Saccharomyces cerevisiae S288C: one gene and its partner. The gene in region 1 interacts genetically with each later gene. Each region holds a gene or a part of one and is shown in the gene's direction. Other genes may lie near its edges.

The links. A genetic interaction does not mean that the proteins touch.
Region 2: mutations in REH1 (region 1) and YPR1 together harm fitness more than expected from each alone (negative genetic interaction), as found in Saccharomyces cerevisiae (2 studies listed by BioGRID).

What each region holds. Positions count from the first base shown.
Region 1 is NC_001144.5:895,874-899,516, reverse strand, and holds REH1 (Reh1p), read left to right. Parts: upstream 1-1,844; coding exon 1,845-3,143; downstream 3,144-3,643. Other genes in the region: 40S ribosomal protein uS14 RPS29A, read right to left, coding at 696-866; VAC14 (Vac14p), read right to left, coding at 3,247-3,643. UniProt on the Saccharomyces cerevisiae protein: Pre-60S-associated cytoplasmic factor involved in the cytoplasmic maturation of the 60S subunit.
Region 2 is NC_001136.10:1,212,063-1,216,554, forward strand, and holds YPR1 (trifunctional aldehyde reductase/carbonyl reductase (NADPH)/glucose 1-dehydrogenase (NADP(+)) YPR1), read left to right. Parts: upstream 1-1,841; coding exon 1,842-2,780; downstream 2,781-4,492. Other genes in the region: MOR1 (Mor1p), read right to left, coding at 376-774; KEI1 (Kei1p), read left to right, coding at 786-815, 917-1,552; XRS2 (Xrs2p), read right to left, coding at 2,954-4,492. UniProt on the Saccharomyces cerevisiae protein: Aldehyde reductase with broad substrate specificity, catalyzing the NADPH-dependent reduction of aldehydes into the corresponding alcohols.

The sequences.
Region 1 (3,643 bases):
TTTTTTTACCATCCTCTAATCTTAGCATACATACCTCGGACTAAGTACAGAAACTAACTAAATTTGTTAGTTTCAATATTGAAACTGATCTTCAAGACTTTTTACCTGCAAGAGACAGTACGTAAATATATGAGTAATGTAGACTTTCTTCGACATCCCAATTCTATCGCCTCGTTTGAGACAACACAGAAATCGGACTTCCTATCCTGTCCAAATAAATTATTCTGGGAAACTCGTATTTCAAATCTTGTTTGAAATACTGGCAATTAACTACTGTTAGAAGACAGGTTCAGTCAACTGTGGCATCGTTTCCGTGTAAAAAATAAATTTTTGATTCACCCTCTTAAAAAAAAATCAGAAAAAATGTGGTAAATATACTCAAAATTGTTGTTGACTGTCGAAGTCCTGCCTTTTTATACAACCGGGAAATTTTTTGAAAGGCGAAAATAATGGAATTGATCCGGGTAATGTATTTCGAAAGTAAGAAATCTAGGGTACGGAATATCAGCAAGCGAATACAAGGAAGAGACAAAGCATATCTCGTACCTCGAGTTGACGAATCCTCCAACGATACTCAAGAGCACATATAGGATCTAAAGATTCGGGGAGCAATAGGACCATAAAAAGTACAAAGGCAGTTTGATATATGTATACATATAGTATTTATATATTCGTCATTGTTTATTTATGATGGCTTATCTGAATTTGTTGAAACCAATGTCGTTAGCTTTTTCTCTGAAACATTGACGACAGATGTTTAAGCCGTACTTTCTGATCAAACCGGTGTGGGAAGAACAAACACGACATTGACGGGAGCCTTTACCGTATCTTCTTGGGTGAGAGAACCAGACGTTTTCGTGAGCCATTTTATCTGCAATAATAGGAAACGTTGTTAGTACAAATGAATTCGGTTGATTGGATTCCAATTTTAAAGAGAATGAGGTTGATAACTCGTGGATTTTTTATACCTGTTATTCCGTCCATGCGATATGAGCTGATTCAGTGAAAGGTTCGTTTCAGCCAGCATACGCAATGATAATAAGCGCTATGTTGTTATGTTATTCTGCAGGTTATGCCGTGATTTGTTCGGCAAAGCCGTTGAATTCATTCCTCAGTCCTGGTAAAATGTACAATCCTGTCGACACGACAATTCTTCAATCCGTTGTTCATTGAATGAAATTCTAATATCAAAAAGAAGCGATTTGTCAGCAACACTTCTGTACGTCCTTATGATTTGAATCCAGAGCTACTTGTGTTTTCAGCATTACTTTCGACGTGGATTATTTCATCTCGAAGTTTTCATTTTTCAGCCTTCCTGTACCTCATAACCTTTAAATTCGAATAGAACTTGGTACATACCCTAATTTACACTTTTGTTCGTGGTATTTCAGCTATTACTTGAGTTAGGGAAAATGTTAAATGCGCGCATCTAATAACCATTAATTATATGTGTATCGCATAGCACTTTCACACAGCTATTTTCGCGGTGCCCCGTAGGGTGCTCCTGCCTCATGTTCCTGCACCTTCATGCTATGCTATGGTCAAGATCTGTCATCAGTTGTTTTGCGTGAAATTTTTCAGAATGACGAATAGACAAGCGCGAATTACAATTCAGTAAAAACAGAAAAGAAATGGGTTTTTTGGAGGTACAGGTGTTGTAGAATTCTGTCCTTTTTTTTTGGGTCGTTTCTTCAAAATTGCCACTCACGAAAGAGAATAAAACGACTTAGTCATATGCAATAGTCACAAGACGGTGGCAACACAGTTGTACAATTCATCTTACAATCACCTTATCATTATTGGGTTATAGCAGCTTAAAAACAGCAGAATTTACATTTTGAAAGATGAGCTCTACTTTCTTTACATGCAACTGTTGTGTTATTCAGTTCAAGACTAGTGATTTGCAAAGATATCACATGAAGACCGAATGGCACAGGTACAACTTAAAGAGAAGAATTGCCAACCTGCCGCCAATTGGTGCGGAACAGTTTGCTGAGAAATTGCAAATTTCAGAAAAGGAACAAGCTGAAAATCAGGTTGATGAGTTTGGTTTCCCTGTTCTAAAGCCTGTTATGAACCAAAGTAACGCTTTGCCTCAGAAACAGAAGAAACCGATCAAGTCAAAGAGAGGAAGAAAAGTTGGTACGAACTTATTGAAGAGGAAAGACAGGGATATTGCTAAAGAAAAACAGAATAGATCGGTGTCCCCTTCTGGATCAATATCTTCACAATTATCTAATTTGACAGTAGGAACAGAAAACACGAATACAGATTATGGTGAAGATACTGTCTCTGAATACGGTTTCACTAGTGACTCTAATTATGAGTATGCTACTAGTGATGAGGAACTAGATATAGCGGATAAGCCAAGTGATAAAGAAAATGAAAAGATTACCATCACGGAATGTATATATTGCGGGAAAGACAATAAAGAAGTGGAAAGAAATGTCAAACATATGTTTAGCGAGCATGGTCTTTTCATACCTGAAAGGTCATATTTGATTGATCTAAACGGTTTACTAGAGTTTTTAATAAAAATGATTGTTATTGATCATAACTGTCTGTGTTGTAACTTTCATGGCTCCGGTTTGGAAAGTATAAGAGCGCATATGGCTTCTAAGCGTCATTGCAGGCTGCCATATGAAACAAAGGAGGAGCGTCAGCTTTTCGCCCCATTTTACGATTTTACTTACGATGATCACTCTATTAGCAAAAATCTTCAGAATGACAGAGCAATTACTTCCAAGCTTTCATCTGTCTATGGGGCCAAAAATGATGAAGAAGATGGGGAGGTAGATATCACGTTGGTCTCATCCGAAAATGACATTAATGCAAACTATACCACCGTATCTATTGATGAATCTGGTTTAGAACTTACCTTGCCAACAGGCGCTAGGCTAGGTCATCGTGCGGGCCAGAGGTACTATAGACAAAATTTACCTTCGCAGCCAAACCCTAACGAAAGCAGAAGAACGATTACAGCTGCTGATAGAAGGATGGTCAGTGGTGTTACCGAGAAGCAATATAAGAAGGGTATGAAGAAAATGCAACAATTGGAGAAAAATGCCATTAATACGCAGATCCGTCGCGAAATTAAAAGGGTTAACTTTCAAACACATTACAGGGATGAGTTGTTGCAATAGGTCATCTTATGTGTCTCGGTTAAATATCTGTTTACGTATCTATTTATGTAGCATGTCAGGTCCATTTCTTAACCAAAGATGCTTTCAATCAGGTAATGGGTAGTTATTTTTTTAATTTATCGGATACATTGCGGTTGAATGGCAGACTGCCACTATCTTTTAATATGACAGAACTATTATCGTTGGGAGATTCCATCTCCTCGTTAATAGCTTCATTCATGGGCGAGATTGGTGTGACAATTTCTTGTTTATCTTCGTCAATACCGTCCAAAAAACTTCCAAGCAGAAGTGATTTATTGTTAGCACCATGGTCAAGCCTTATCATATCTGATGAATATTCATCTTCTTCTGAAACGGCCTTAAAATGATTAATTAGTTCCTGGAAATGTAGTTTACTTTGGCTAACGGACCTTTGCGAGATATCAGAATTGGAATCACAAAAGTTACTATTCTCCCTTTGTCTTATATAGTTGTTCATGACATAAGATTGGGATGTCCAT
Region 2 (4,492 bases), on another chromosome or scaffold:
CGATCAGTATAATTAAGTCTACAAATGAAGAGAAATTTAGAAACAGATTTTTTGGCACAAAGGCAATGAGACTTAGAGATGAAGTATCAGGTAATAATTTATACGTATACTACATCGAGACCAAGAAGAACATTGCTGATGTGATGACAAAACCTCTTCCGATAAAAACATTTAAACTATTAACTAACAAATGGATTCATTAGATCTATTACATTATGGGTGGTATGTTGGAATAGAAATCAACTATCATCTACTAACTAGTATTTACATTACTAGTATATTATCATATACGGTGTTAGAAGATGACGCAAATGATGAGAAATAGTCATCTAAATTAGTGGAAGCTGAAACGCAAGGATTGATAATGTAATAGGATCAATGAATATAAACATATAAAATGATGATAATAATATTTATAGAATTGTGTAGAATTGCAGATTCCCTTTTATGGATTCCTAAATCCTTGAGGAGAACTTCTAGTATATTCTGTATACCTAATATTATAGCCTTTATCAACAATGGAATCCCAACAATTATCTCAACATTCACATATTTCTCAAAGCATATATGTAGTATATATACATATACATATATATATTTATATAGGTTTGGGAACCTATGTTTTTTATTGTACCAAACGCATCCCTCTTCAATAATCTTCGAAAAAAAAGTGCACAACAAGCGGGAAAATCTGTGTAAAGCTGTATAAGTGATCTGTACAAAAACTACGAAGAAAAGAAATAATACCAGGGAGGAACTACCAATTGTAACCATTAACCTTAGTTATGAGATCATCTCTTCTAACCCTTCCAAAAGTATGTTTCCGGCAAACGCTATAAATTTTTGTTAACTTGTAAGGATTCGAAGCAAAGCACAATTTTACTAACCTGTTCTCAAACATATTTTTTTTTCATAGTCTTTTTTGGGGTTTATGCCGCTATACCTTGCAGTTGAGATTGTCTTAGGTATTTCCATTCTAAACAAATGCAGTGGTGCTTATGGTATTTTAGCATTGTTCACGGGTCATCCGTTGGATTTTATGCAATGGATAGCATATCTTTGGTCGGTATTTACATTAATCGTATTCTCACAAGGGCTGTATTTGATTCATAAGCCAAACTTGCTGGTATTTTCGCAAATCTGCGTACTTTATACAATCGATACCATTTCCACTTGTTTTTTTACTCTATGGTTTACCACGCAATGGTTCACCTTGGAAGACACTGCTAATATTGATGGAAATAATGCACTACAAAGTAACCCAATATCGACAGGTAAGCTGACAGAACGTGGTATTGATATAAGTAAACAAAGTGCAACTGAAAGCTACGAATATACCATGACTATTTTAATTACGTTGGTGTCATTGATATTCAGGTTCTACTTTAACTTCATTTTGGCATCTTTTGTTCAAGAATTGTTACACCACCCCAAATATTTAGTTGATAGGGATGACGTAGAACAAAACTTGAAAAACAAGCCTATTTGGAAAAGACTGTGGGCTAAGAGCCAAAAAGGTTGTTATAAGCTATGTAAGAATTTGTTAGAGTAAATAGTAAAATAAAGCCCTAGCGTTATAGCGTTTTACACTGATGAAGAAATGTTTCTATTCTGACATCATAAAATCATTCTCACTGATGCTATTGTCACTTTTCATCACGTGTGTATTTAAGTAGCTCTTACGTAATTTTGAAAAAAAAGGAAAAAGGAAACTATATAGCACGCAATTCCCTATTTGGTTGCAATTCAATTCCGTGAAACCCTTTTCTTTTCTAAAGTGATAATAAAGTAACTTTGCAATATAATCAGGTCGCAAATATACCCACAGATAATAATCTACCATGCCTGCTACGTTAAAGAATTCTTCTGCTACATTAAAACTAAATACTGGTGCCTCCATTCCAGTGTTGGGTTTCGGCACTTGGCGTTCCGTTGACAATAACGGTTACCATTCTGTAATTGCAGCTTTGAAAGCTGGATACAGACACATTGATGCTGCGGCTATCTATTTGAATGAAGAAGAAGTTGGCAGGGCTATTAAAGATTCCGGAGTCCCTCGTGAGGAAATTTTTATTACTACTAAGCTTTGGGGTACGGAACAACGTGATCCGGAAGCTGCTCTAAACAAGTCTTTGAAAAGACTAGGCTTGGATTATGTTGACCTATATCTGATGCATTGGCCAGTGCCTTTGAAAACCGACAGAGTTACTGATGGTAACGTTCTGTGCATTCCAACATTAGAAGATGGCACTGTTGACATCGATACTAAGGAATGGAATTTTATCAAGACGTGGGAGTTGATGCAAGAGTTGCCAAAGACGGGCAAAACTAAAGCCGTTGGTGTCTCTAATTTTTCTATTAACAACATTAAAGAATTATTAGAATCTCCAAATAACAAGGTGGTACCAGCTACTAATCAAATTGAAATTCATCCATTGCTACCACAAGACGAATTGATTGCCTTTTGTAAGGAAAAGGGTATTGTTGTTGAAGCCTACTCACCATTTGGGAGTGCTAATGCTCCTTTACTAAAAGAGCAAGCAATTATTGATATGGCTAAAAAGCACGGCGTTGAGCCAGCACAGCTTATTATCAGTTGGAGTATTCAAAGAGGCTACGTTGTTCTGGCCAAATCGGTTAATCCTGAAAGAATTGTATCCAATTTTAAGATTTTCACTCTGCCTGAGGATGATTTCAAGACTATTAGTAACCTATCCAAAGTGCATGGTACAAAGAGAGTCGTTGATATGAAGTGGGGATCCTTCCCAATTTTCCAATGAGCGCGCTACATTACAGTTAATGCCTCCAGCAACCTGTAGTGCTTCTTTAAACCGATCCGATACAGCTGAAACAAACATTGATTTTACTAATTTTCATATAATATATACACATATATCGAATGATAATGCAAAATATAATTTAATGAAATTGGAAATACTCGGAAAATTTATCATTATCCTTTTCTTCTTTTGAACGTAAACTTCGGACCGTCGTCATCGTCGTCGTCGCCATCACCGTTATTAGAAGCCCCAAAAGAGCCACGTGATCTACTAGTTGCGCTTCTACTGTGTCTACTTTGCTTGGAACATTCTTCTGACAAGTTTGGCCGTAAGTTCATTTCCTTCACCACAAAAAGATTACGATTATTTTCTCTGTGATTTAGTCTATCGCTTTTATCATCAATATCACCCAGATCATCTTCATCAGTAATAAAAATTTTGTTTTTTAGTGGTTGAACGCTGGCTGCAGTACCTGAACAACGAGAAAAAGAAAACGAATCTTCTTCTCCTTCATTTGAACTATCCTCATTCGTGAATCTGTTTAGAGCTTGAGATCTTTTCTGGATAGTGTTTGAGTTTATATTATCGGACATAAATGTATTCGATCCAAATCTTTCCATCTCCGTCAAAGCAAACATATCTTCGTTTTCTTCTGTGCCCCATTTTGTAGTTGTATCCTTTTTGGAGTATTTTTTTAACGGAACATAATTTCTAGTGATTAAAAAGGCTGCATTTCGTATAAAATCTGAGCTTTGAGTGTTATTTTTACCCTCTTCTTTGTGCGCCTTTGATTTTGGACGTACCTTGACAAAAGTCTTGAAATTCTTGCGTTTATGCCATTCTGGCTCCATTAGGCTATTTTCCCATTTTTCAGTTGTTCTGCTTGTTTTGTTTCCCTCACTATCAAATGATTTCCTCAGTAAATTGTTACTAGGTTCTACAATAGCCAAATTTTTTAGCTGATTAATAGCTTCCTCGCTCAACTCCTCATCCTTCAATTCAACAATGGTTGACTTAACTCTTTTGACCTCTCTATTTTTAGTTTCTTGAATAGCTTCAACAAATGCGTGCGGCGTACCAGATTTCTCTTTAATAGATAACTCTTTTACAGGTGACTTACAATTTTCTTGTAATGGAGATGAAATTTCTCGTGAATAATTAGAAAGTTTACGGATGTTTTTAGAGGGTTGCTCTATATTCTGGTGATGATTCACCCTAAAATTCTTAGTAACTTCAGCATCATCCATCGAATTCACAGCAGCTGTTTCATAGTCAGCGGAGTTCGAAGATATGGTTTGAGAGCCAATCCCTGCTACCTCCGGCAATGACGGCTGTGGTAACTTATGTGACTGTAGCGACTTATCCAACGAATCCTCACTCGTGTTCACAGTACCTAAGTTGGGGCTACTGACAATTATAGCACCAGGGCTACTGTGACCACTTTTCTTTCCAATATCTTCAGTCGGCTTTAGTGCGTTTTGAAGAAATGGGGCGTGCTTTTCATCTGCCTCTGCAATGTTGGGACTTGAAATGACAGTCTTTGATTCTGCGCCACAATTAAGTCTCTTAGCGTCAGTTAAAGACCTATTTTCTGATAGAGTCTTAGTACTCAAACCTCCAGCAAAAAAATCAAGACTATCGAGTGGTAGTACTCTACGTCTATTTAATTTTCGCTTCTTCGAGACTACTGGACTAGCTTCAACTTCAGGTGC